7 linked regions of the Callithrix jacchus genome follow. The protein of the gene in region 1 binds, or shares a complex with, the protein of each later gene. Links are inferred from orthologs where the notes say so. Each region holds a gene or a part of one and is shown on either strand. Other genes may lie near its edges.

Region 1 (3,500 bases):
TTCTGTCGCCCAGGCTGGAGTGCAGTGGCACGATCTCGGCAAACTGCAACCACCGCCTCCTGGGGTCAAGTGATTCTCCTGCCTCAGCCTCCTGAGTAGCTGAGACTACAGGCGCACCACCATGCCATGCCAGGTTAATTTTTGTACTTTAAGTAGAGACAGGGGTTTTACCATTTTGGTCAGGCTGGTCTCGACCTGCCTATCTGTAACCTCGTGATCTGCTCCCAAAGTGCTGGGATTACAGGCGTGAGCCACTGCACCTGGATGTATTTTTTTTTTTTTTTTTGAGACTGAGTCTTGCTGTCACCAGGCTGGAGTGTAGTGGTGCGATCTTGGCTCACTGCAACCTCTGCCTCTAGAGTAGCTGCGACTACAGGCATGCACCACCATGCCCAGATAATCTTTGTATTTTTAGTAGAGATGGGGTCTCACCACGTTGGCCAGGATGGTCTTGAACTCCTGACCTCGTGACCCACCCGCCTCAGCCTCCCAAAGTGCTGGGATTACAGGTATAAGCCACCAGGCCTGGCCCCTGGTGACATATTTAATGTCCCTCAATCTGATGCATATGATGACTGTAATAAAAGTTAAGGCTCTCAAAGCAAGACAAGAAACCCAAGCACATCAAGTCCACCCAACCATCAAAAACCACTTCCGTGGGCCCAGGCACCCTGGGGATTCCTGTCGAAGGTCAGCAGAAAGCAGGACAAGAGTCAATGCCCCTCCGGCCCCCATGCCCTGGACTCACAAAGCCGTTGCCCATGATGCGGTAGAGGCCTTTGAGAGACTCCAGGTCCTTGTTGGTGAAATGGAACTGGACCATCCTTGAGTTCCGGAACAAAGGGCCCAGGGTGGTCTGTGGAGACACAGAAGTCGGCTGGCACGTTTGTGTGGGGAAGTGAGGAAGGAGGCACGAGGCGTGGGGAAGGAACTAGGGAAGAGACTGCAAGGCTGGCCCCTACCGCCACTCACCAGCAGCTGCTGGGGGATGAGTTGCATGATCAGCTTCTGGGGCCACTGCTCGGTCTTCCTGTGGGGCGATGCCAGGAGAGGTGTGAGGAGGGGGCCAGCCCCAGCCCTACTGCACCCCACCCCTGACAGTCACCTACAGGTTCTCGCCATGATTCACGTAGACCTGGCAGGGCAGTGACCGTGTCAGCTTGGTGTTGGCATCCACAGAGGCAGGTTTGGGTTTCTGCGGGGCAGAAAGAGCATGTCACAGTGAAAAGGGCCATGAGCCTCAGTCCTCCTTAGCCCTCATGTCCTACCCTGGTAGCCCCAAAACTCAGTATGTTCCTCAGGTGAAGTCTCAAGCGCCCTAGGCCCCTCATCTGGATCACCAAGCCTTCAACTCCTCAAATATTAGGGCTACTCATCCAGCCCTAAACCCCACAATGCACTGCTCCCCAGATGCCAGCCCCCAGCCCTTCTCAGGGCCCCAAATCCTAGGCTCTTCTGGGTTCTTTGCATGAGGACCCTCCTCAGTACAAGTCCAACCACCTGAAGGGGCTCCTGGCCTGGTCCCAAGTCCCAGGAGTCCAGCCCAATGAATGCCACCAAAGCCAGTACTACAAATCCCACACATCTGGCCCCATGCATCCTATGTGCTCCACCCTGCAGCCCCAGGAGTTCCGAGTGCCCAGTGGACCCTTAGGCCTCTCACCTCCTGCCACTCGAGGACCCCACTCCAGGCCAGAAGCTTATTGGAGACTGACTGCTGCCCACCGAGGGCTGGGGCTCCCAGCTGGGCTGGGGAAGGGCCACTCACCCCTCCTGGGGCCACGGTGCCTGCCTGCCAGAGGGGAGGAAGGAGGGCCATGAGGATGGGGAAAGAGGGAGCCTCTGGGGGCCATCTGTGAGGGTAAACCAGGAAGAAGAAAAGGCCCCTTCTTCTGTACCTAATCCCCAAATAGCACTTGGCCAGCCCAAGGACCCCAAATGCCTGCACGCTGCAAGATTCGAGGAGTCGTAAGCCCCATGATGCCCTGGACTCCCGGACCCAGGAATTCCTTGGGTTTCTCAGAACAGTTCTCGCCCACCTGGAGCCATGAGCCTCACATTCTGTCCCCAGACCCACTCAGCTCAGTCATCTGCAGCACACGTACCACGAGCCCCCAAGGCCCCAGGACCACCAGACCCACATCTCCTTGGAAGGCAAATGACTCAACCTCTAACTGTCCTAGCTGTGGGCAGCAGGAGGAAGGAGCCAGGGCAGGAGGCGTGCAGGCACCTACCATGGATGGTGCCCCGGGTTGTGCTGTGGGAGCCAGGCCCGAGCCAGGGGCCACGGTGGAGACCAGGCTGGGCTGGGAAGCAGGTGGCGGCTTGGGGGCGCCAGGGGGTCCTGGGGGTAGTGGGGGAGCTGGGGCCTGGCTGAAGGGGGGACCCACTCCAGGAGCGGTTTGTTGGAGAGGGGTGATGGGCGAGACTGTGGGAGAGAGCAAGGGAAGAAGTGGGGAACAGGTGTGTGGACAGAGGCCTGCCTGGCCCCTGCCCGCCCTGCGTCCTTGCCCCGGGACTCACAGCGAGGGCCCAGCCCAGCCTTCTGGTTCTTGGCAGCCTCCACTGCATTCTGGGCGGCCACCTGAGCTGCACTCAGGTTCCCAGGAACCTGTGGGTAGAAGGGAAGGGGCTGGTGAGGACCACGGCCCCCAGTCCTGGTGTCCCATGAGGCCACACTACCCACAGCCCCACAAGGCGCAGCCGCCCAACTGGGGTAGCTCCCGACTCCCATCACCCTGTAGGCAAGCTTCCATGGTCCCAGGACTCCCACCCTCCCAGGGTCCCAAGGGGACTCCCAGCATCCCACAAGCTCCAACATCCAGCTAGATCTCTCCCCAGCGGCATGGCTCCTCCAAGTCCCCAGAAGCATGTCCCTTCCTGAAAACATCCATACCTGGTACTGCGGGGGTACAGGGGGAAGAGGCTGCTGGGGGGCTGCTGAGAGAGTGGCACCCGAGGGTGCGGCAGGAGGCAGGGGGACTGGCTGCTTTGGCTGGAGGGGGCCTGGGGCCGAGCCACCCCCAACTGAGAGCAGGAGGGATGGCCAACCCCAGAGAGAAGGGGTTCAGGTGGAGAGAGAGGAGAGAAATCCAAAATCCAAGTCAGAGGGTGGTGGGTAAACACCTGGATCCCCCATCCCCAACAGCGCCCAAGCCTCACCAGGCAGCACGAGGCCCCGAACCAGCACCATGTGCCTCGGGTCCTGGCTCACATCTGTCGGAGGCTGCAGTGGCTCCAGCAAGGCCGGGGGAGCTGCCTTCTCAAACAGAAGCCGAAGGGCCGGCAGCTTCCGGGGAGACACGATGGAGAAGTGGATCCCCCGCTGCAGGAGAGGGGCCCAGCAGTCATGTCGGGGGCTCCCTCCATAGGGATGTCGGGGCCAGCCCCCAAGCTACCACGGCTGCAGTGTGGCTAGACGGCACCAGCCCTACAACCACAATCCCTGCTGGGCTTTGAGGCAGGAGACTCTGAAACTGGGTATCACCTGCCCCAGGAGA
Region 2 (3,979 bases), on another chromosome or scaffold:
AGATCATTAACATTTAATTATCAATGTATTAATAAAATAAAATTTAGGGTTACTATTTTATTATGTTTTATTCTGAGAGGTTGTGAAATTTTTTGAGACGGAGTTTCGCTCATTACCCAGGCTGGAGTGCAATGGCTCGATCTCGGCTCACCACAACCTCTGCCTCCTGGGTTCAGGCAATTCTCCTGCCTCAGCCTCCTGAGTAGCTGGGACTATAGGCGCACGCCACCATGCCCAGCTAATTTTTTGTATTTTTAGTAGAGACAGGGTTTCACCTTGTTGACCAGGATGGTCTAGATCTCTTGACCTCCTGATTCACGCGCCTCAGCCTCCCAAAGTCCTGGGATTATAGGCATGAGCCACCATGCCCGGCCTGACATTTTCTATTTGTACCTTCTTGACTCCTTTATAACACTTAAGTACTTTGAAAATCAGTTTTCTGATCAAATCTTCTCTCCTCCAAAAACTACAATGAAGAGTACAGATTTATGGACAATAACTGTGATAGCAAAATGTTTTTAATAAACATCAATGAAAATACAGTTAAAAGTTCAAAAACTTTCTGTGACAAGCCAATAAACTGTTACGAATTTTATAGCTAACACTGGTGTTCCTGAAATTTGAAACACAGTACTTTTCAAGAACTGTGGAAAAGCTTGATTATGACAAAAATAACAGGCAGTGTTGTATTTTTGGTTTCTCTGGAAACTTAAACTCTGAATAGCAAGATTACAGCAAATGTAGCTCAGGATATTCTGAAAAATATAGCCCAAGGAAATGGCCAGTTAAAATGTGAATACATTTTAATTCCACCTTTCCAGTGGAGAAAATCACTAGACTAAAAGAGATCCAAGGGTTGGATGAGTAACCATAGTTGAAAATGCTGATACAAATGTTAGCAATAATAACTTGAGGTGAAATAGAGCCCAGTAACTGATGTATTGAAAGTATGTTCGGGTCTGACTAGAATACAGCAATAAAAGTTGAGAGATTAATAAAGGGCAAAAGAAAGAAACTTTAGATAAATAAAGAGACTGAGAAAGAACTGACGATTCAAAAACATACTTCACTGTGATGCAAGCAAATTAAGGAGAAGGATGAAAAATACAAGGTGAATTCTTTCACAATAGCAGGAAAATTCTGACAGAGGATTTCTTGGTAGAATGTGTAGATGAACTAGAACAGGTATGAAGTTCTGAAAGAAGAAACATTTGCATAAATGTGACTTACTTATCCAGCCACACTAACTCTATTTAAAAGCAATACAATTTCCAAAACTTTCTTGCTCAAAGCTCAAATTTACACAATGCCACCTCTAAGAGGCAGGATGCTAGCCTAAACTAAAATGTCCCTTATGTCTGTTCTTACTACCTTCTTCTCTGGCTTGAGAAATGTTTTGATTTGTAAAAGTACTGGCCAAGACAACAAAATAAAGACATGAATCATGTCACAATAGAATTTTATATATGTTTACTTATGTTTATTAATGCATCATCTGCCTTAATAATTTCAGTTAAAAAATGATGGTATGACGGTTTAAAGCTGGTTCAATCATTATTTTATAAGCTTATTTATCACGAGTGAAAACAGAAGACTATTAAAAATAGCTAAAAAGGGAACATGTGTCATAGTGTTGAATGCTTCTGTAACTGTTGGTAAGGCTTGTTATCTAAGTCTGATGCAGAATTCTTAATGGCACTGAAACAGTTCTTTTCTCAGCCACATGGTATCCACTGGTGCTACGAGTCTGGAATAGACTGGCTATGGGTACCACTTCTTGTCTTCAGCTGTGACTGTGCAATATCAGCAAGCGCACTTTGTATCTTTTCCAGAAGCATGTCTCCTCGATAAACAACATCTTCCAGACATGTAGCAGCTTCATGGTTTTCTTCTTCTAGCTTATATAAGCTAGCAGCCTTTATAAGACAGAAATTTTGAAATCTTTAGAGTTAACGAGGGAAGCTGTCACAGAGGTACTTATTTTTAAATCTGGATGACTTTGCAATTATTGTGTTTTTCAGCAAAGAAATTCTAAAAATCAGATAACTTCTAAGAATTTTCCTCATTTGAATTATTAAAAAGAATGAATTTTCAATTAGAAATCTCTAGATATCTGTAAGTGACTCCCTTCCACACTACATTTGGGCACCATTGTTCTACTCCACATCTAGAATGCCACCCTCCTCTCATTCTTCACTAGGAAAAGAGACACAATTGAGGAAATAAGAGGTTTCCTTATAATGGAAAATTGAATATTATAACAAAAGGTGCTATGATTTGAATGTGTCCCCTCCAAAATTCATACGTTATGTGTCCCCTCCAAAATTCATACGTTAAAATCTAATCCCCAATGTGAAGGTATTAAGAAGGAAAGGGCCTTTAAGAGGATATTAAGTCATGAAGGCAAAGCTCTCATAGAATTAGTGCCCTCATAAAATGGCTTGAGGTTGAAGAGGGAATTCTTGCTCTTTTGTCCTTCTGCCTTCTGCCATGTGAGGAAATAGAAAGAAGGCCCTCAACATGGCCTTAAACATGGCCCTAAACATAGCACTGTGTTAAATAAAAATGTCTTACTCATGCACAATGAGTAATAAATGTCTTGATCTTGGACCTCCCAGCCTACAGAAACTGTGAGAAAATAAATTTCTGTTCTTTATAAATTATTGTCTCAGGTATTCTGTTACAGCAGCACAAATGGACACAGACAAAAGGTATTAAACCTTGCTCCTTTAATTCAAAATTCTCTATTACTGGTAAAATTCTCAAAGGAATAAAGACTTACCTGTAAAGCAGCTGTAGACTCTTCACTGGGTAGGGAATCTATCAAAACATCAATGTCTTTTGCTGTTCGTGCAATCAGTGCTGCAAAAAGCTGGGCATACTCTAGAGAAAGATAATGCTAGATCAGGTCATTAGAAAACCTCAAGTTTTCAGAACAAATTTTAAGTTAGTGAAACTGGAAACTTCACATAGCTTTTTCTGCACTAGGATTCTAATGATTAAAATATACACAAATCCTATTACACATTTAGCTCAAATTGGGAATTAAGCATAATTTTTGGAAACAAAATAAGCCGAATTGCTCAATAAATCTAATTTGAAAGGATTACAATAAATGTGAGAGTCAAAGAGAAGCTAAGAAAACCAGTTTACCTTCTGTAGGATTAGCTGGCTGGTCTTTGTTAATTGCTGTCTGAATATTACTAAAAGACGCAGGAGGACCACACTGCTGCAATACTCCAATGGCATTACAAAACTGATCTGCAAGCTTAGGCCAAAGAAAACATGTCAAGGTTAGGAAGGACTTATCAATTTTAAGGACTTTATTGATAACAGCAACAACAATAAATTTCTTTAATCATAATCTCTGAGTAAGGGAATAAAACAGAAAGGAATAATTGCTGATAAAATAAGCCAGTTACTAATAACGTTAATTAAACATTTTAATTCTGCAAAGAAACTAAGTTTGGTATCAACCCAGTTGAAACAGTTGAAATAAAAATAATATTTCTTTTCTTTTGATAGTAAAATGGTAAGAGAACACTAGCCAATATTTATTATAAGCCAAAAGTAAAGACTTTTGGGGAACAGTGATGGAAAAGAGCAGTGATGGAAATCTGACTTGCAAATATCTACCTATGGCATTGCGTCAAATGAAAATTTATTATTCATGTACAAAGTATATAATTCCTTTTCTGAAACTGGAGTAGTTACAAGCATAAAGAAATAGTGGGGAAAAGGCTGCTCAGAAAAGCACCTTAAGTAATCAGAAACATATTTGTTCAAGACTCAAGTTTTAAACTCTTGTGCGCTAAAAGTACTCCTTAAGTACTTCTAAAGATTGAGAACAGCAATTCCTTATCATCTCCAAATTAAAAACGCCTATCCTCCCCACCAATTTCTCTCACCTAGTCTTGACCTCTCAAACCTCCTATTTCTAATAAGCATTTGCACTGGGTTTCTCTGCCATTGTTCAATT
Region 3 (4,192 bases), on another chromosome or scaffold:
ATTGGCAAGCATTAAAAAAAAAAACTAAAATCTTGGGCAGACTAAATAAAATGCCCAAAATGGGCTAATTTGCAATCTCTCTTGAATGTAAATATCTAAAAGGCTGTTGTCCCCAAGAGGGTATAGAATGGTTCTAGCTTAATCCAGGGACAGATTGAAGCTACAAGGAAGTATATTATATCACAATATAAGGAAGAACTTTATAACTTCTGGCTAACAATCGAATCAGCTGTCCTTGACAGAGTCACATGGGATCAATGGAAACTTCCAAACGGAGTGTAGATGACCATCTCTCAGCAACACTATGGATAAAATTAAACTTACGGATGGCTAAGGCTTCCAACACAGAGTCTGTAAATCTACATACATACAACATTTGTTGAAATATACTTTTTTAAAAGTCTTTTCTTTGGATTATTAAATGGATAAAAAGCCAGAAAAGATACAAACGGTCCTGCAGGCAACACAAGATGTATATGCTTCATGAGTCAACTGTTACTGCATACAGAAAAGTGACTTCAAGACAAATTTGAAACATTTCCTCTCAAATTTTTGTCTTAAAAAAAAAAGTTCACTACTGCTTTCTGACTACCTGCTTAAAACAAAGCAGAGGTGTGAGTTCAAGGTGTAGTTTTTTGTTTTTTTTTACCATTAAAAGGGAATTGCTTTCTGGTTATAATACACTTCTTGCAACTTAGTAAGCTTTAACAGGAAAGTGTCTGCTGAACAACCTGAATGGTAAACATATATATACACATAAATGAGTAAATGCATGTGAAGTATTTAGCACTGTTCTTGACACAGAACAGGACTTAAAGAAAAGATAGCAGTTCTAAGATTCAGGTAAGACTCCTCCCAACAACCCCAAACACCTTCCTTACAGATACTCTCTTTTTGTGTTCTTAATTTCAGCCCATGGCTGAAATTACGTAATGTTAAACAACATTTACAGATTGTGAGTTCTTTGAGATCAGAAACCTGGGGAGATGGGGAGGTCGGTAAAAGACAAGGTCAGACAAAGCAGAGCCAGATCATAGAGGGGTTTGGCCCAAAAAAGAGAGACTGGATTTTATTTCGCATGGAAATGCAAAGCCATTGAAAGATTCTAGGCAAAAAAGTAAAGTGTTCTGATTTATATTTTTAAGTGATTAAGCAGGCTTCTGTGTAGAAAGCTGTTTTGCTTTGTTTGGTTTGCAGGGAGCGGGAGGGGAGCAGGAAGGTAAAAGTGGAAGCAGAGATAACCAGGCAATAGATTACTGCAGTGATACAAGTTAGAGATGAGGGTGTCTTGTATTAAGGTGACAACTGAAAGAAGTGGAGAGATTCAAAATACATTTTTGCCAATGTGAAACTAAGAAATCTATTATATAATAAAGTATACACATGCTTAGGATTATAAAAATTAAACTTACTTTAGATACTTGGCATATTCTGGGTCTTTCCAGTAAAGCAAGTATTTAAGATAATTAACAAAAGCTTTGTCTTTGAAGTAACCTCTTTGGGCAAGAACTGAAAAGCATTAAAAAAAAAAAAAAAAGAAAATCTGTAGGTCAAACCAATTCTTAAACTATGATTTGTTACCCCTAATATAAAGGATCTATTTACATAACACTCCCACCACCAACACACATCGGATTCAAAATACAAGTCCCAATGTACACAATTACATCTATACACCAGCTAAGTGTAATTTCATTTCATTGAGAATGTGTACAAGCAGATACTATTTTGAATTGCAACTCTTCTGTCAGAAATTAACAGCTACTCAATTTAATGAGGTGCTTAAAAACTTACAATTAAGGTAATTTGGGTTGGCTAAACATTGCACAAATTCCAACTCCAATTGAAACCGAAGTCGATTTCCAGCATCATCTAGGAGACAAGACAGCAAAAATCATCGAAAATAAAGGTCACTGTATATAATACTGATTTGTGGTAAGGAAAGAATAAAGAAACCTGACTAATATCGAGATGGTCTTCCTAAACTGGGAGTGGGTGGAGATAAACCTTTCTTCGAAATCTAAGAAAAGCGGAGCCTTGATTAAAAGGATTAAGTTAGAAGTTTCTCTAAAGTTAAAGAGAAATCATCAAAGAAAACAGCCACACAAACAGAGCAGAATTCCTACCAACTCGTGGACCACTTTGCAGGAATTTTAAGTGATCACTTAGGTAAGCTGTAATAACTGTGCTTCCCCTATTTTAATAATGCATTGTAACAATTGTTAACAGTGATTACGTTTCGCAAAAGCTACGCGCTGAATCCTTTAAGAAAAACTTAGGATGCAAGCCGAAAAAGAGACTGCAGAGAGCCTAAAAGATCGTGGAGTTTATGCATATCTGAGAAGCAGCAACAGCACAATGATACACAAGTCTAGCGACGGTATTTCAAATACGCAAGCTCGTGAGAAGCAGAAAACCAATCAAGGAGGACACGGTTTAACACACAAGTCCTCTCTTAATCTCGCCCACCCTGGCGAGCTGGTGGTTTTTGAATAGCAAAGATGTGGCACAAACCAAATTAGGAGAACTGCGAAAAGTACCTTAGCCTTTCTAGACGCCACAAGGGCCTTCTCTCCGCCCTGTCCAAATACGAACCCTGCAGAGTGAGGCCTGAAAGGAAGCCCCGGGGAAGAGGTCTGGGCCTAGGAGCGTTCCATCTGAGAAGACTCCAGGCTCAGAGAGCTACTCACCTGTCTCCATAGCGACGGCGGCGGCCATAACAAACACACACCAACCCGCCACCAGCCCGACAGAGCAAACGCCCAGAGTGGCGAGGGAAGTTCCAAAAACCACAGCTCCCTCTTCCGGTCCCGGGGCATTGTGGGATATGCGGCCGGGAGGCTCCGCCCATCCCCGGGCCGCTCCATCCCCGCTGGCTACCGAACGGCGAGGGGGCGGGGACAGGGCCGTGGGAGCGCCCGAGGGGCAGAAGCCTAGTGTTTTAGCCTTCGAAGGACAATGATGCTTCCACATCATCGTGTTGTGGCTCTCCCCCCTGTGGTAGTACAGTAGTTTTTCTCTCTTCTGCCTGCGGTGACGGTTGGTATGTGGGGTGCCCAGAGGCCTCCCTGGCCCCCCTCACGCCTGGCAGAATGGCCTCAGCCCAGGGGGCAAGCAGTCTTCGCCCCGGTGCGGATCTCCCGCTACGCGGAGACGTCTACGGTCCGCCCGGATGGGTGGAGACCTCACGGGGCCGCAGCGAGGGGTCTTCCCTCTCCCCGTCGGGAAAGTGGCTCCCTGGCGTCCTCAAGGAGTCCTCCTGGCACGTGGAAGCCTCCTCGCGGCGCACGGAAACGACCTCCCGCCACGTCAGGGACCCTGCGGGTGGAGACGTCTCTGCACCGCGCGGAGAGCCCAGCCCCGCGGGCCAGGCCGGCCGCCACCACCACCCCCTCCCTCCGAGAGAAAGAAGCCTGATGAGATACTGCTTCCCAAAGGCCACCAAGGTGCCAGGGCCCTCAGCCAGGACAGAAAGGCCTCCAGTTGCCAGCCAGCCAGCTGCCAGGTGGACCAATCTTTTTCGGTTTCATGGAAATAGCTCATAAATCAATGTAAGAAACAGCTAGGCTGCGGTTCCTGAACACAGCCAACGTTTTTTGACCATCCTGCGGCGTCTTGGACCAGCCTGCTTTTGACCCAGTGAATTATATTCACTTGAAGCCAGCACAAAAGGTTTTCAGGCCCAGGATGCTGTATAAATCGGGTTGATGGACAAAGGCTGTTTGAACCTCTGAGCCAGGTGAGTTTGGGATCCAAAGCCCTCCGATGACCTTCGCCCCTTAGGAACACAGACCAAACTGAAATCATGACCTGTGGAATGATTCCATGCCTGCTAAAAGCTTGAGAAGCAACTAACTCATAAATTATTAATTGCCCTTTGTTTATGTTTCAAAGTAAATGGTTTTCTTTTACCTGGCACCCCCATTCACATACTTTTTTAAGGTAGGTTAGATGTTAAAAATGATAGCAAACCTACCAGCAAGCAAAAATAATCTTAGAAGGGAAAGTGAAAGGAAGTCATTGAAACCTGACCTGAGGTTTGAACAAGATGGACAAGAGTCATATTTATTGAGTAGCTGCTCTGTGCCAGGCACTACAGATACTCCTCCACTTACAATGGGGTTACCTCCCAATAAACCCATTGTAAGTAGAAAATATGGTAATTTGAAAATGCACTTACTATCTACAACCT
Region 4 (3,963 bases), about 43 Mb from region 1:
CCCACCGCCGCCCCGGAACAGAAAAGGCCCGTGATGCGCCACGACCACGTTTTTAAAACCAGACTAGAAGAAAATGACCCAAAATTTGAAAGCAGGCTCCTCCACAGAAGGTGAAAGGTGGCTTTTCTCACCCTGGTTTGATTCTAATTTCCTGTGGTTTTCTAATCTTCTCTATTGAGCACATATTACAGGTGCATATACTGGAGCAATAGAGAGAAAATGAGTGCAGCCACCACGTACCTTTCTTTTTTTTTTGAGACGGAGTTTCGCTCTTATTACCCAGGCAGGAGTGCAATGGTGCGATCTCGGCTCACCGCAACCTCCGCCTCCTGGGTTCAGGCAATTCTCCTGCCTCAGCCTCCCGAGCAGCTGGGATTACAGGCACATGCCACCGTGCCCAGCTAATTTTTGTATCTTTAGTAGAGACGGGGTTTCACCATGTTGACCAGGATGGTCTCGATCTCTTGACCTTGTGATCCACCCGCCTCGGCCTCCCAAAGTGCTGGGATTACAGGCATGAGCCACCACGCCCGGCCACCAGGTGCCTTTCAAAAACCAAACAGTGACCCACACCATCTGGAAACCTGGGGCAGGTGTCCCTAACATGCCTGCGTCAACCACCACCCCAGCCCCGTTCGATCCCACAGAGTGGGGACCTCACGTCTCCCGGCACCAGGTGTGGGGAGCACTGAATCCACCCTCTGCACCTCCAGGAGGCTGAGGCTCTCACCCACGTTAGAGAGTGAGGGGTGTCCTGCAAGACTGGATCCCCGCAAGGCAGGGTGCCGGGTACCTGGGGAAAAGGGTGGGACGCCACGTGGGCGGGAGGGGGCGCACCCTGGTCGTCGCTGCGCAGGTCCATGGTGAAGGCGATGAGGTTTCGGCAGGACCAGGCGCAGGCCAGGGGCACCGACGGGCAGTGCGTGCTCTTGGACCATTTCTCCCACTCACAGACGTAGGCCAAGTCCATCATCCCACCTGCTGCCGGCCGCCGCAAGTCACACATGAGGGCAGTCACCAGCTCCTGCGGGAGGGAGGTCTGGCTGGTCGTCTGTGTGGACTGAGCTTCCAGGGCACGTGGAGTGCCAGGCCGGATACGGGAAAACCACAGGCAGGCAGTCGAAGGAACGGCAGGTGCAAAGGCCCGGAGGCCAGAAAGAGCCTGGGGCGTTCCCGGCAGCCCACGGGGCTGGGGCTGAAGGGGGTGTGGAGAGGTCAGGGCCTGTGGGCTTTTACCCTGAGCGGGGTGGGAGCCCAGGAGGGCTGGGACTTACTTGGATTTCACCAGGGCCCCTCTGGCTATCTGGGTAACAGATCGGGGCGGGGGGGGGGGGCCAAGGGCACAGCCGAAGAAGCGGCGGAGGGTCTGCACTGGCCCAGGTGAGTGATGATGGCGGCAGCAGGAGGACGCTGGGTCTCTTTTGAAGGAAGGGCCTACAAACAGGCATATGGTGGGGCTGCCTGTGGCCAAGGCGGGCAGGCGTTCTGGGGCGAAGGGGCTTGGTGAGTGTGACAGGCAACAGAGGGAGCATTTCCTAGGGGCTTGCTTTTTTTTGAGACGGAGTCTCGCTCTTGTTACCCAGGCTGGAGTGCAATGGCGCGATCTCGGCTCACCGCAACCTCCGCCTCCTGGGTTCAAGCAATTCTCCTGCCTCAGCCTCCCGAGTAGCTGGGATCACAGGCACGCGCCACCATGCCCAGCTAATTTTTGTATCTTTAGTAGAGACGGGGTTTCACCACGTTGACCGGGATGGTCTCGATCTCTTGACCTCGTGATCCACCCGCCTCGGCCTCCCAGAGTGCTGGGATTACAGGCGCCCGGCCCTGTTTCCTTCGGGCTTTCTAAGCGCCCAGCATCTGGACAGACTGTTTCTGCTTCACAAAGGCAAAAACCCAGTGAGGCTGGAAGGACCACCAGGCGGTTTTCCTCAAACCCTATCCGGGGCTGCCTACTTCAGGGTCTGCCCCAGACCCCCAGGGCTCCGCCAGACACCCCTTAAAGTCAGCCCCTGACACCTCTTGCTTCCCCCACTTCAAACCACCCCTGGGGCCCATGGCCTCAGCCTAAATTCTCAGGCTTCACCCTAGGGGTCCCATGTTGGCTGACCTCCCCAGGTCCAGCCTCCGACAGCCTTGGCTCTCCAGGCCCCACCCCTAAAACTCCCCAGTCCCCAGGTTCCCCTCCAGGAACCCCATGTAGTCTCCAGGCCCTTTCCCTATTGCCCCCAAACAGCAGGCTTCATCCCAGGGACCCCATGGCGTCTACAGGCTCCGCCCCTATGACCTCCAATCTCCACGGTCCACCCCAGGGAACCCAACTCTCCAGGTTTCATCCATATAGCTATCCAGTTCCCAGGCTCCATGCCGGGGCCCCCAAACCCACAAGCCCCGCCCCCTAAGTCCCACCAAGCGCCTTCAGCCCCGCCCAAAACTCCCTTCAGACCCCGCCCCTAGCCCCGCCCCGCCCCGCGGGCCTCCGGCTGCTTCGGAGTTTCCGCCGCAAGCTGCAGACCCTGGGGCCGAAAGCCGCCTACCCAGCAGCCTTTGCTTCCGGACACGCCCCCTAACCCTGCAGGCCCCGCCTCCGCCGCGCCGCGTTCCCTGGGGCAGCAGACGCCACCGGGAATCCGTCCCGCCCCCGGCCGGCCCCCGCAGCCCCGCGCTCACCTGGCCGGCCGGTGCGCCAAGACCAGCGGGCGTCCGCGGCGCGAAATTTCCCTAATGCCTCGGCTCCGGCGCCGCCATCTTCCCTGGGACCAACGAGTTGCCTGGCCCGCGCCGCCGCCTCCCAAAGACTTCTGGGACGGCGGCGCGGCCTAGGCTCCGCCCCGCTTCCGGGTATATTTGCATGCGAGCATTTCCAGTGATTCCCAAAAGCCACCGTAACTATATTTGGTGGAATAAGCACTTTCCCAGCTCCAGTTAATAACTGCGTTGGTTGGATTACACGTCAGACCACGGAAATACAGGTTGGGCGTCTATAGCATTTAACAAAAGTCACCCTATGTGTAGAGGAGTTGACTATAGAGGCTATAAATAGGTCCCGGTGCGGCAGCTCAATCGTGCTCGCTTCGGCAGCACATATACTAAAATTGGAACGATACAGAGAAGATTAGCATGGCCCCTGCGCAAGGATGACACGCAAATTCGTGAAGCGTTCCATATTTTTGCTTCCCTTCCGCGAGCCCGCAATGACGTCACAGGGCCCCTCCCTTCCGCGAGCCCGCAATGACGTCACAGGGCCCCTCCCTTCCGCCATCCTGCAATGACGTCACTGGTGCGGTGACGCCATCGCCTTCCCCTTTTCGTTTCCTGTTGCACCACTAAGGTCGGCGACTGGAGAACAATCTGGCCGTCCCCACTTAGTTGTGGCGCCCCGCCACCTGCCCCTGTGGCCCTCGAGCTACCGTAAATAAGTAAGTAAACGCTCCGCAGGAGCACATATTGAGCGCCTGCTGCATACACAGGAGAACACTATGGTTTTGATTTTATGTTTTTTTAATTTAATTTAAATTTTTTTTTTTTTTGAGACGGGAGTTTCGCTCTTGTTACCCAGGCTGGAGTGCAATGGCGCGATCTCGGCTCACCGCAACCTCCGCCTCCCGGGTTCAGGCAATTCTCCTGCCTCAGCCTCCCGAGTAGCTGGGATTACAGGCACGCGCCACCATGCCCAGCTAATTTTTTGTATTTTTAGTAGAGACGGGGTTTCACCATGTTGACCAGGATGGTCTCGATCTCTTGACCTCGTGATCCACCCGCCTCGGCCTCCCAGAGTGCTGGGATTACAGGCGTCAGCCACCGCGCCCGGCCATTTCTTCCGTTTTCTAGTCTCCAAGATTGGAGAAACTGAGGCTCCTTTATCTGAAGTCACCAGTCCCGCTGAGGAATGTTCCTACCTCCAACCCCATTTCCACCTCCACCTCCACGAGCCAGTTTAATGCAATGCATGTTGTGCTTTTCTTT
Region 5 (4,111 bases), on another chromosome or scaffold:
TCAGAGTACCATACCAATATTTGTTATTATTTCCCTCAAGTCATGATGTGGAAATAAGACTTGAGATAATGAAAGGCATCTTGGAGACCTAACATGTCCAGAAAACTTGATTTCCACCTCTTCAAACTTGTTCCTTCCTCATCTTCCAAGTCTCCATACCCATACACCTAATTATTCAAGGTGAAAACTTAAGAAGACATCATTCCTTCACTTTACTCTCTCCTTCACTTCTTCCCCTATTATCCAGGCTGGAGTGCAGTGGTGCAGTCACGGCTCACTGCAGCCTCAACTTCCTGGGCTCAAGTAATTCTATCACCTCAGCCGCCTAAGTAGCTGAGACTACAGGCACACATCACTATGCCTAGCTAAATTATATTTATTTTTTGTAGAGATGTGTCTCATTATGTTTCCCAGGCTTGTCTCAAACTTTCGGGCTCAAGATATTCTCCCACCTCGGCCTCCCAAAGTGTTGGGATTACTGGCATGAGCCACAGCGCCTGGCCCTATATTCAACTTTTCATCCCCATCAGCTCTACCTCTAACATCCTGTATCCATTTACTTCTCTATGCCCTGCTATGCCCTGGTTTGAACCATCATCTTTCCTGGACTATGAGTGGTAACCTCTGACTTCCCCACTTTCTATTTGTCATGTGGCTGCTTGAATGATTATAAATAAGTAAATCTGACCAAGTTCCTGTGTTAAAATGGCTTTCCTTGGCTGGGCACAGTGGCTCACGTCTATAATCCCAGCACTTTGGAAGGGCAAGGCAGGAGGACTGCTGTTGGCCAGGAGTTCAAGACCAGCTTGGACAATACAGTAAGACCCTATCTCTACAGAAAAATTTTAAGTTAGCCAACCATGGTGGCACATGCCTGTCGCCCTAGCTACCTGGGAGGCTGAGCTGGGAGGACAGCATGAGCCCAGGAATTCGAGGTCACAGTGAGCTATGATTATGCCACTGCAGTCCAGCCTGGGTGACACAGTGAGACTTTGCCTCTATAAATTTTTTTTTAAACGGCTTCCTTTGGTATTTGCCATCTAAATGCCTTTATTACTTTATAAAGGCCTCTGCCTAACTCTCCCACCTTTCCTTTTGTCTCTCTCTCCTAAGACTCTTTCCTTTCGTTCACTTCACTGGAGTCCAACTGATTTTCTGTCCCTCAGATATTCTAAGCGTTTTCTCACATCAGGGTTTCTGACCTCATTACTTGTATCTAGTATTATCTCTCCCTCCTATCCATCCATAGCTGGCCCTTTGTCTATGCTTATATTTTAGTTCAAATGTTAGCTACATGGAAAGAGCATCTCTGGTCACTCTAACTAAAGTAGTTCTGCCCTCAACATTTTTTTCTTTTGAGAGATGGTCTCATCTGTTGCCCAGGCTGGAGTGCAGTGGCACTATCTTGGTTCACTGCAGCCGAAACCTCCTGAGTTCAAGAGAATCTCCTCCCTTAGCCTCCCCAATAGCTGGGGCTATAGGCACGGACTGCCGTGCCTGGCTATTCTTGTATGTTTTGTAGAGACTGGGTCTCGACATGTTGCCCAGGCTGGTCTCAAACTCCTGGACTCAAAGGATCCTCCTGCCTGGGCCTCCCAAAGCGCTGGGATTACAGGTGTGAGCAACACGCCTGGCCCCTTTCAATTCTTTATCATGTTTTCTCCTCCTAGAATTAATCACTCTCTGATATAATCTTGTTTACAATGCCTCCTCCACTGACATGTACATTCCAAAAAAAAGCAAGCATCTTGTCAGTCTTGTTCATAACTGTATCTCAAGCATTTACAAAAGTGCTTGGTACATAGGAACTCAACAAAATTAATTTTTGAATGAAAAGAGTTTGGTTTGATTCTTATCCCTTCTTAGAACAGACCAGGAAACGCCGGAACCTTAGAAGGAATAATGGCAACTTGCCCCAAACCAACAGCAAAATTAAAACTTTGGGTCCCCAAAGATATTAAATCAGGCCTCTCAAGTTCCTAACTGAAACCCTGGATCTCCTGGATCTTTTGTTTTTGAGAGGGAGTCTCGTTCTGTCGCCCAGGCTGGAGTGCAGTGGAGCAATCTAGGCTCACCGCAACCTCCGCCTCCCGGGTTCAAAGCGATTCTCCCGCCTGAGCCACCTGAGTAGCTGGGATTAAACGTATACGCAACCATGCCCGGCTAATTTTTGTATTTTTAGTAGAGAGGGGGGGTTTCATCATGTTGACTAGGCTGGTCTCGAACTCCTGACCTTAGGTGATTCGCCCGCCTCCGCCTCCCAGAGTGCTGGGATTACAGGCATCAGTCACCGCGCCCAGTCCTGGATCATTTTTTTAGGGAGACATAAACCAGTGTCACGGAGATTCACCGTCCCTCTCCCCCGCCGTTTGGTTGAATTCAAGTCATCCCTCTGCTTGTGAATCCTAACAGCGCTTCCGACTTATGGCTCCACAGTCCGAGTCTGTCTTTCTTAGGTTACCTGGCACCTCCGCTAGCCGGCTGAGAACCACGCCCATCACCTCCTCTCTAAGATTTGATTGGCTGGCTTTGGCAAGGCCGTGTACTCACCTGGCAGTTCCCTCATTAGGTAGAAAGGGCCACAGCCAGCTCCTGACTTGTCCGCGCCGGGAGGGGCCGTGGCTGCGGTGGGAGGCGGGGCCGTGCCGGGACCCCCGCCTGGAGGAGGTGGTGGCGGGGGTGGAGGCTTTCCTGGTCCGAAGCCGAGTGCGGTTGGGGGCGGTGGTGGGTCAGCCTGAGCCCCGAACAGTGCCGTGAAATTCTCCATCGTCCCCTCCGCCTCGGCGCTGCCTAGATGTCTGGCGTTGGTAATTTTCATTGGACAATGCTTTTAAGGGTACCGCCCTCTTTCTCAAGGAGCCTCTTGTCATTGGATGCCTCAGGCACCGCTTACCTTGTTTCAGCAACTACTTCCGTCGCCTTATGAGAACGTTTAGAAAGTGCTATTTAACCTTATTAGATTCTTCTGCTAGCTTCGTTTGCTACAGTCCAATAAAATGACTTAGGTGGATAAAGCGACAACTAGACTAACCAATAATATGTTAAATTCTTATTTGGGTTCTGACCTACCACAGCGTCCAGAGAGCTACATCCGGATTTAGAGGCGGTACATTTGAGATACGGCCCAATAGCAGTCTCTATGGTGAGGGAGGCGGGGCCAGACCTACAACGCCAATGAGCCCCGGCCCTAACGGCCAAAAAGATGGCGATCCTGGCACCTCTAATTGCTCTGGTGTATTCTGTGCCGCGACTTTCACGATGGCTGGCCCAACCTTACTACCTTCTGTCGGCCCTGCTCTCTGCTGCCTTCCTACTCGTGAGGAAACTGCCGCCGCTCTGCAACGGTCTGCCTACCCAACGCGAAGACGGCAACCCGTGTGACTTTGACTGGGTGAGCGTCCCGCGTCTTAGTACCCCGCGACCTTGACTGGGAACCCTGGGCTTTCCCTTTCTGAGGACACTTGAGGTTCCGAGCCTGTAGCGGACTTACAAACTATTAAGTACAGGGTCCGGACCATCATCAAGTCAGCGAGCGGCCCAACAGCTTCTGACTGCGGAGTCCAGGTTTCTTTCCATTTCACCATTCACACTAATCAACAGCCCTATGAAAACTCTACATAGACGTGTACAGCGTTTTACAGTGCCGCTCATTAAGTAAAGCCTCCTGAGGAGCCAGTAGGTAGACAAGGGAAGTAGTAATGTTCTTGTTTCATTGGTGAAGAAATGGATCTCGGTATATTTAGGCGACTTGCCCCAGATCACACAACTAATGAGTGCCTGGGACTTGAAACTGCTCTTCTGGCCACACTAGCTGCACACACTGTCAGCCGTTTCTTAATTCAGTAAACATTTCTAGAGTGTACACTCTAGGCACTCTGCTGGATCGTGAGGATGTGAAAGTGGATAAAATTTTGGGGCGATTGTAAAGGAATTGTAAAAAAAAAATACGTCGTAAAAAATCCGTCCCAAGCTCCTTGCTGTGTTTCCTCGGTAGGGGTGGAGGGACCGCTCAGAACATTAACTTAAAGCGCTTCGCCCTCTGCCATATAGCACGTGGGGGGCAAGGAGAAACTTCCCCTTGCTCTCTGAGGGTTTGTTCAAAAAATCAACC
Region 6 (3,500 bases), on another chromosome or scaffold:
GATCTCCAAATAATTACAATTATTCCTCTCTGTCATTTAAATCATATGATGCCTTGTATTATTTAACTTCTATGTATATAAATTCTATTTCCCTACCATTATGCCATGATCTTAAAAAGTATAGATTATATTTTCATATCTAACCTCTGACTTATTAGATGAATAAAAATTTATGTGGGCATTACTTTAAAAATCAAATCTAAGGGACAATATATTTCTAATACTCCAATGGTATTTAGAAGAATTTATTAAAATGAATGTGAAAAGACTTTTAGTACTTATAACTGGAGACACTAATGAAAAAGATCCTTCAATGAACAAAATTCTAGAGGGGGGTACACTACAATAATAATCTTTACAATATTTTCCAAGTATATAAACTTTTTTTCAATATACAGTGTGACTAGACTCCAGTATACAGACATTTATAAAGAACATTCAGAACCTGAAATAAGAGCCCCCAAATTCAGTAGACCAAGCTATAAAGAAATACTACAACAGCGACATGAAATCCTTTCATATAGCGAAATTTCTGTGCATGTAGCTATGGCAAACTCACCCCAAGTTCGTCGTCATCAGAATTATCAAAGATGTTGTCTAAGTCATGCAGGGAAGGTGCCAAATCTGTTACCTGCGTAAGGCTACTGGAGCCAGCTCTGCCAGCAGCATTATCCTGCCGGACATCTGTAGGAAAGGAAGCAAAAGAAACAGAATAAACAACTCCACCAAGTGCAAAGGAGTGGGGAGGGGACACGGATCTCAATGAACATGACCTGCCTGAGTTTTTCCCTATGGTTTTAGTTAAATTTAGAAACAATTATTTCCAAATATGTTTATCAGTTTTGAAAGGAACTGAAAAACTATAAAATATATTAAAGATGAGATGAAATTCTTATTACAATAAGAATAAAATTTTATATTGAGAAGCATCTCCCTTGCATTTTATTTTAGCAACAATCCAAGTGAGGCAAATAATCATTGTACACACCTGTTTTAGTAGCAGAACTGAAAATAGACATGGCATTTTTCCCATCAGGCACCGGCGTGGAATGACCTGGTGTAGTGACATCCTTGGTACCAAATCCATCCTCTGACTGTATAATAAATTCAGCCAAACAAAACACATGAACACCAACCCAAAGTGTGAAATATGAGGGAGAACACAAAGAATTAGAGGGTAGAATGGAACTTGTTATGAGCACAAGTATGATAAACCATGGTCTATGCAACCAAAGGAAATAAAAGATAGGTCCTTTCTCCAGAATTTTAACAGAACCATGAGCTCCCCACTTTCCCCTCAATCCTATGGGGTATTCTGAGTGAATCCGTTTTTTATGCCTAACGAGTACTGGTGGCATTTGATATTAAATGATGCCATGATATTAAAAGCTGCCTTTAACAACATTTTAGATGATGAAGTATAGATTAAGCCTTCTGGATCTAGGGAGATCAGTATAAAACAATCTAAAAATCATTCCCCTGAAGTATACTGGCCTCTTATAATTGTCTTACTTCCTTGATTCTCAAGAATACCTCTTTTGATGGCCCAGTATTTTAGAATGTCTGAAAATTTGAAATTAAAGACAGCAGACACAACCAGTACTCATTTTTATAATAATGAAACCAGTAAAATTAATACTGATAGTCTATGGGTAGAGCTGGTATGAGTCCAGAGAATACACAGGTATAGCGCTCAGCACAGTGAGGATAATAAGCGCTTGATAAACTGTATATACATACTATGATCAACATTTTTCCCTTTACATTTTGGGTACTCTGGAATAATATTTTAAAAGAAATAAGCAGGGAGCATAGGCCAACAAGAATTAGCATATGAGAGGAAACATGCACTGTACAAGCTATAGCCTGGAAAATATGAGGCTTCATTTATGTTCGGCTGACTTTTAAAAAAAGGTGAGCCATGACATAAAAAGGAACAATACGCTGTTCAATACAATAGTACCAAGAGCATGAATATGGGGACAGAGCAATCAGGCAAGACTATCTGAAATGTTCTGCCTCCAAAGTCTTCCCACACGTGTTTTACTGACATAGATAGAAACCCACACGTGCTGGACTCTCTCTCTGTTAAATGGTACCTTATTCTTTTTCAGGGAATCTTTCTCCGTTCCTTGTTTGCATTTCTTGTTGGCTGTAAAGATGTATTTTATGTCACCATCTTCAAAGGTGTATGGGTCATTCACTTCTCCCAAACTGTCTCCAGGTTGTTGTGATAGAGGCAATGGGTCAAGGAAGTGGAGTGGCTGCATCTGCGGCTGTTTGTCTTGCCAGATTTTAAACCGTTTGTTAGGTTGTGCTAAGAGTCTAAAAGACAAAATGACAATTGAAACAAGGTAAACAAGGTTAAGTGCGTTTCTTTAAAAAAAAAAAAAAGGCATTATGACAAAGCATTTACAAAGCTTAAACTTTTTGTAAAAAAAAAAAAAAAAAAAAACTAAAAATTCACCTATATGGTGATTTGCTTTTATAGTTTATATTCGTGATTAAATAAAAATTAGTAAGTATACTTTTTCAAGAATATATGTTTTCGTCTCTGGGTCCATGAATTTCACTTAAGAGCACAGGTTCTCAAGACAAACCGCCTAGGTTCAAACTCCATCTGTGTCATTTACTAACTGCATGGCCCTAGTTTCTCAGTTATAAAATTACCATAATAATATGATATGGTAAAGATTAAATGAGTTAATCTATGAAAAGTGTTTAGAATGAGTGGACCAAAAGCACTGTAAATATTATACTAGATACATGATACACACACTCGAGTGCAGGCAAAGCCTTCCTCAAAAATGTCAACATACAAAGAAGGCACTGGTAGCAATATAGAAGGCCTCATAAAGCTGTATTCTTTAATTAACAAACAATAGGCCAAAAATATATTAATATATTCTGAGTCTACTAACATGGCACAAAGAGGTCTTTATATGCCCGTGTGTTTAAATGACATGTGTGCTATGCTGTACGTAGAACAAAGCATTGGACCATTAAACATCTTCCATATGCAGAGTCAAGAAGGACAAAGAAAAGTCGGCTTCAATTTTGAACCTTATGTTTAGCAGGGAGAGATGGGGAGGGAGCCCATAGCCTTCCAGTGGATGGGTACGTGGTGCAGAGAGCTGTCTTACCTTTGCAATGCAGTGCTCTCTGAGTTTACCTCCATTTTGGCATCACATCTCTCACCCTGGAGCTCTGGAGGCCTGAACTCAGTATCATCACAGGGAGGGAGACGATAACTATGCCACCACTTATCTGATGACTCTGGGTTCGAGGGCCTAATCCCACAATATAAGGCTGTCTCGCTGACCTCTGCCATGAGAGGCAGTCTTTGGCCTACGAGGACAGTTCTGTCATCCAGAGTAGACAACTGCTGGAGTTCTAGCCCATTTCCATAGAGGGCTGGATTCACAGGGACTGATGGTGGGTCCAAACTCTCTGTTTCCTGGCCTCGTGGCTGAGGGCTGAGTGTTGGCGGCAGAGGGGAT
Region 7 (4,104 bases), on another chromosome or scaffold:
CTGGTCTAAGTAAAAGCTGGTTTCAGGTGGGGTAAGGGTGGTGCTCACTGGAGTGGGGCTATGGCAGGAGATGTGGGATAAGCCTTTCTCTGTTCTTGCAAATCTGGGAGTATGAGTCTACAGAAAGCTTTATAAGGCTTGATTTAGGGACAGGAGTACAGGGGAGGTAGAAGTCTCTAAGACTTAATCATGTTCTGTAACAGTCCAGGACAAGATGGAAACCTATGTCCTCTCCAATCGTGGAAAAAAGGCCAAAGAAAGCCCACACTCATTCTGTCTGGTTAAAGATGTGGAAATTAGAGCCCTGTCCTGCTACAAAGAAGGTGCATTCCTGGTATACTACATTAGAATCCAGCCCCATTTCCCCACAGAAATAAAATTTCCATAGGGGTTAGAGCCTACATTATTAGTGGCAATACACTTTTCAGGTAAACAGAATTAACAGGCTGGTGTGGAAATCTCAAGACTCCTATCAACATGGTTCTGCGGGACAATGAGTTCTGAGTTACAAACAGGTTAAGAGAAATCGTTTAGTGCCCGGGCTCGGTGGCTCACACCTGTAATCCCAGCACTCTGAGAGGTTGAGGTGAGTGGATCACAAGGTCAGGAGTTCAAGACCAGCCTGGCCAAGATAGTGAAACCTCATCTCTACTAAAAATACAAAAATTAGCCAGGTATAGTGACAGGTGTTTGTAATCCCAGCTATTCAGGAGGCTGAGGCAGGAGAATCTCTTGAACCTGGAAGGCAAGGGTTGCAGTGAGCCAAGACCATGCCACTACACTCCAGCCTGGGTGACAGAGCGAGACTCTGTCCCAAAAAAAAAAAGAAAAAAGAAAAACGTTTAGCTACAACTTGTGTTTCAACTTTTTAAATTCCTCCAAAGACTACCTCCTCCAATTACATTTTACAAAGTAATAAATATCCTGAAAGGCTACATAATCAGGTTAATAGTTTTAAAAAAAAAAAAACAGGGAGGGATAACATGGGGAGAAACGCCAGATATAGGTGATGGGGAGGAAGGCAGCAAACCACATTGCCATGTATGTACCTATGCAACAATCTTGCATGTTCTTCACATGTGCCCCAAAATCTAAAACGCAATAAAATATGTATTAAAAACAAAACAAAAAAACCCTAAGTTACGAATCCACTGTTTTTAAAGATGCTCAACCTAAAAATATGTAAGGTACATTTGTGAATTTTCTTCTCATTTTCATAAATGCAATCCAGACACAAATTCCATTCAGAAACTGACAAACTTCACAGATCACAGAATCGGTACACATAACTATGTCTGAGTGAGCACACGACACTTTTCTGGAAGTCATTCACATCAGAGCAGTTTCATTCTGTGAAGAAGTTCCAACAATCCACTCACCTTGGCCTCCCAAAGTGGTGGGATTACAGGCATGAGCCACCATACCCGGCCCTAATACAGTTTATTTTAAACAGTGGATTAAACACATAGCCATTTAATTTCTGGTGTCTATGTGTTTTAGGGTTCTCTTCCATCATTAAATATCATGCTGACCTGGTAACTTGGTAGTAATGTTGTGGCAAAGACTAAATTTAACACCATAAAGTGCCGATTATAAGTAGATCAGGTATATTTTAAAATACAATAGATAAGATTTATTCTAAAGCTGTCAAAGAATGTTGGCTACAGAAAAGGTGACATTTGAGCTGGATTCTGAAGGATAAATGAATCATCCACCAAATTGAGGGTAGACTGGGATTTGCACTGAAGATGTGTAAGTCTGGCTAAGGAATTTGAACTTTACCTCACTGGACAATGCAAACCTACCAACGATATAGGTTTTATATCATTTTTCTGCAGTAAAATGATATAACATGCCTTTTAAAACTGGTCTCGGCCAATATAAAAGGATAAAGTGCAGAAGCATGAGGCAATTAAAACTGGGAGGCTGCATTTAAGTAGCAGTTATTAACAGCGGAGTAGATACGAGACGGCAACTCTGAGTCACATTTTAGGAGGTAGAAGAACCAAGATAATTTACCACGCAAGCCAATGTGAGAGAGTCAAGGAAGACTTCAACTTGAGATACTTATCATGAAAAGTAACAGAATATGAAGAGTGACATCTAATTTCGTCTCCTACCTCTGCCACACAACCATCCCAAACAATTTGCAACCCCACCAAGCCAGGCTTTTGCACATGCCGTTCCATCTACCTGCTGCCTAGTGAGTCTGCCAGCTCATGCTTCCCAAGCAGCCCTTTCTTCAGGGTGCCTGTGTGCAGCCCTCTAATAAAACAGGCCCCACTCCAGTTTACACATCTGTCTGTCTCTGGCATCCAGCCTACCCTTCAAGACCCCAGTGGCTGGCACCCAAGGGGCGTTCCATAAATGTTAAGTGGCCGGCCGTGGACGAAGGGGGCTCCGACCGCGCAATTTCTTAATTTCCACGATTACTATCATTATTAAAATTCCCTCTATCGGGAAAAACCGCCGCCCAGAGTGCCAAAGGGCTGCGGACCCCACGTCCAGGACCATCGTGCACCCGAAACTCCCGCGCCGGCCCTCCCCGCCAAGCGCAGAGAACTAGCGCAAATCAAGGGCCGGCCGGGGTCAGTTCCCCGGCCCAGCTCCAGCCCGGCTCTAAGGCTCGAGCCATTACCTAGACAGGACTTCCAAATCCTCAAGCGCAGACAGCAGCCGCTCTCGTGTGCTGTTACCACTTGCCACTCCCAAGCCGCCTCCCAGCCGCTCCTTCTCCTTCTCACCACTCGAAGACGCAGCCATACTCCCGACCGTCCCGCCGCTGGCGCACGCGCAGTGCATGCTGACGCAGGGGCGTGGCGGGTAGGCAGGCTCGGAAGGCAGAAGAGTCACCCAGTGAAGGAATGAAAGCCCTGGCGAGACCGCCCCCTGTGCGCCTGGAGGCGCACTGCGGACACCGGCGCCATCTGCTGGGCCAGCGAGGGCTTTCCGGTAGAAACCTTGGGAGCGACAGCCGAACCGAGAACAAGGGGTAGACCAGAGTCTGATTCTCCTGGGCATAATGTTTTTTTCTTTCTTTTCTTTTCTTTTCTTTTCTTTTCTTTTCTTTTCTTTTTTCTTTTCTTTTCTTTTCTTTTCTTTTCTCTCTTTTCTTTTCTCCTCTCCCCTCCTCCCCTCCCCTCCCTTCTCCCTCCCCCCTCCCCCCTCCCTTCCCCCCTCCCCATCCCTCTCCCTCTTACCTCCCCTCCCCTCCCCCTCCCCATCCCTCTCCCTCTTACCTCCCCTCCCCTCCCCCTCCCCATCCCTCTCCCTCTTCCCTCCCCTCCCCTCCCCCCTCCCCATCCCTCTCCCTCTTCCCTCCCCATCCCTCTCCCTCTTACCTCCCCTCCCCTCCCCCCTCCCCATCCCTCTCCCTCTTCCCTCCCCTCCCCCCTCCCCATCCCTCTCCCTCTCCCTCTTCCCTCCCCTCCCCCCTCCCCATCCCTCTCCCTCTTCCCTCCCCTCCCCTCCCCCCTCCCCATCCCTCTCTCTCTTCCCCTCCCCTCCCCCCTCCCCATCCCTCTCCCTCTTCCCTCCCCTCCCCCCTCCCCATCCCTCTCCCTCTTCCCTCCCCTCCCCTCCCCCCTCCCCACCCCTCTCTCTCTTCCCCTCCCCTCCCCCCTCCCCATCCCTCTCCCTCTTCCCTCCCCTCCCCTCCCCTCCCCTCTCCTCCCCTCCTTTCCTCCTTTCCTTCCTTTTCTCTCTCCCTACCCCCCGCCCTCTCTCTCTCTCTCTTTCCTTCCTTCTTTTTTTTTTTTTTTTTTTGACGGGTTTCACTCTGTTGCCCAGACTGGAGTGCATGGTTGCAATCTCGACTAGCTACAGTCTCCGCCTCTCCGGTTCAAGCGCTTCTCCTGCGTCAGCCTAACGAATAGTTGGGATTACAGGCACGTGCCACGCTTCCAGCTAATTTTTGTATTTTTGGTACAGATAGGGTTTCGCCATGTTGGCCATGCTGGTCTCGAACTCCTGACTTCAAGTGATCCACCCCCCCACCCCCCTTGGCTTCCCAGAATGCTGGGGTTATAGGCGTGAGTACCCATGCCTGGCCCTGGGCCTAGTGTTTCTCAAGCAGCCATGAGAAGCTTCTGTGAAGTGACTTTT

The links.
Region 2: MED25 (region 1) and MED21 share a complex: the UniProt entries of both Homo sapiens proteins name them as parts of the mediator complex. The link is inferred for Callithrix jacchus from reciprocal best matches to the Homo sapiens genes MED25 and MED21.
Region 3: MED25 (region 1) and MED31 share a complex: the UniProt entries of both Homo sapiens proteins name them as parts of the mediator complex. The link is inferred for Callithrix jacchus from reciprocal best matches to the Homo sapiens genes MED25 and MED31.
Region 4: the proteins of MED25 (region 1) and MED16 are in contact, whole or in part, in a cryo-EM structure (PDB 7EMF), measured with the Homo sapiens proteins. The link is inferred for Callithrix jacchus from reciprocal best matches to the Homo sapiens genes MED25 and MED16. Residues at the interface, in NP_112235.2 of Homo sapiens: Ala26, Asn27, Gly29, Pro30, Tyr31, Val74, Asp75, Cys76, Ala77, Pro78, Glu79, Val82, Cys84, His85, Pro87, Lys102, Phe103, Met104, Gly105, Gly106, Gly107, Gly108, Glu109, Thr120, Gln123, Leu124, Asp127, Phe128, Tyr151, Leu152; in NP_005472.2 of Homo sapiens: Cys41, Arg42, Ser92, Ser94, His113, Arg161, Lys163, Phe171, Gly172, Gly173, Lys174, Pro195, Gly485, Tyr486, Ala516, Ala517, Gln520, Val521, Thr524, Arg525, Ile554, Ala555, Ser558, Lys561, Ser562, Leu563, Leu564, Arg565, Pro566, His567.
Region 5: MED25 (region 1) and MED19 share a complex: the UniProt entries of both Homo sapiens proteins name them as parts of the mediator complex. The link is inferred for Callithrix jacchus from reciprocal best matches to the Homo sapiens genes MED25 and MED19.
Region 6: MED25 (region 1) and MED13L share a complex: the UniProt entries of both Homo sapiens proteins name them as parts of the mediator complex. The link is inferred for Callithrix jacchus from reciprocal best matches to the Homo sapiens genes MED25 and MED13L.
Region 7: MED25 (region 1) and MED4 share a complex: the UniProt entries of both Homo sapiens proteins name them as parts of the mediator complex. The link is inferred for Callithrix jacchus from reciprocal best matches to the Homo sapiens genes MED25 and MED4.

The regions. Positions count from the first base shown.
Region 1 is NC_133523.1:43,604,665-43,608,164, reverse strand, and holds part of MED25 (mediator of RNA polymerase II transcription subunit 25), read right to left. Parts: intron 3,326-3,500; coding exon 3,163-3,325; intron 3,028-3,162; coding exon 2,897-3,027; intron 2,612-2,896; coding exon 2,524-2,611; intron 2,429-2,523; coding exon 2,235-2,428; intron 1,793-2,234; coding exon 1,664-1,792; intron 1,196-1,663; coding exon 1,110-1,195; intron 1,031-1,109; coding exon 973-1,030; intron 857-972; coding exon 749-856; intron 1-748. UniProt on the Homo sapiens protein: Component of the Mediator complex, a coactivator involved in the regulated transcription of nearly all RNA polymerase II-dependent genes.
Region 2 is NC_133510.1:44,217,563-44,221,541, forward strand, and holds the end of MED21 (mediator of RNA polymerase II transcription subunit 21), read right to left. Parts: intron 3,269-3,979; coding exon 3,154-3,268; intron 2,884-3,153; coding exon 2,783-2,883; intron 1,917-2,782; coding exon 1,740-1,916; 3' UTR 501-1,739; downstream 1-500. UniProt on the Homo sapiens protein: Component of the Mediator complex, a coactivator involved in the regulated transcription of nearly all RNA polymerase II-dependent genes.
Region 3 is NC_133506.1:108,210,682-108,214,873, forward strand, and holds the start of MED31 (mediator of RNA polymerase II transcription subunit 31), read right to left. Parts: upstream 2,801-4,192; 5' UTR 2,719-2,800; coding exon 2,691-2,718; intron 1,873-2,690; coding exon 1,795-1,872; intron 1,510-1,794; coding exon 1,413-1,509; intron 1-1,412. UniProt on the Homo sapiens protein: Component of the Mediator complex, a coactivator involved in the regulated transcription of nearly all RNA polymerase II-dependent genes.
Region 4 is NC_133523.1:834,341-838,303, forward strand, and holds the start of MED16 (mediator of RNA polymerase II transcription subunit 16), read right to left. Parts: upstream 2,801-3,963; 5' UTR 2,668-2,800; intron 1,435-2,667; 5' UTR 1,275-1,434; intron 1,025-1,274; 5' UTR 1,007-1,024; coding exon 838-1,006; coding exon of another isoform or gene 794-837; intron 1-793. UniProt on the Homo sapiens protein: Component of the Mediator complex, a coactivator involved in the regulated transcription of nearly all RNA polymerase II-dependent genes.
Region 5 is NC_133511.1:115,289,779-115,293,889, forward strand, and holds the start of MED19 (mediator of RNA polymerase II transcription subunit 19), read right to left. Parts: upstream 2,801-4,111; 5' UTR 2,768-2,800; coding exon 2,551-2,767; intron 1-2,550. Other genes in the region: TMX2 (thioredoxin-related transmembrane protein 2), read left to right, coding at 3,203-3,391. UniProt on the Homo sapiens protein: Component of the Mediator complex, a coactivator involved in the regulated transcription of nearly all RNA polymerase II-dependent genes.
Region 6 is NC_133510.1:119,044,066-119,047,565, forward strand, and holds part of MED13L (mediator of RNA polymerase II transcription subunit 13-like), read right to left. Parts: coding exon 3,144-3,500; intron 2,326-3,143; coding exon 2,100-2,325; intron 1,095-2,099; coding exon 989-1,094; intron 685-988; coding exon 560-684; intron 1-559. UniProt on the Homo sapiens protein: Component of the Mediator complex, a coactivator involved in the regulated transcription of nearly all RNA polymerase II-dependent genes.
Region 7 is NC_133502.1:67,843,313-67,847,416, reverse strand, and holds the start of MED4 (mediator of RNA polymerase II transcription subunit 4), read right to left. Parts: upstream 2,801-4,104; 5' UTR 2,764-2,800; coding exon 2,639-2,763; intron 1-2,638. UniProt on the Homo sapiens protein: Component of the Mediator complex, a coactivator involved in the regulated transcription of nearly all RNA polymerase II-dependent genes.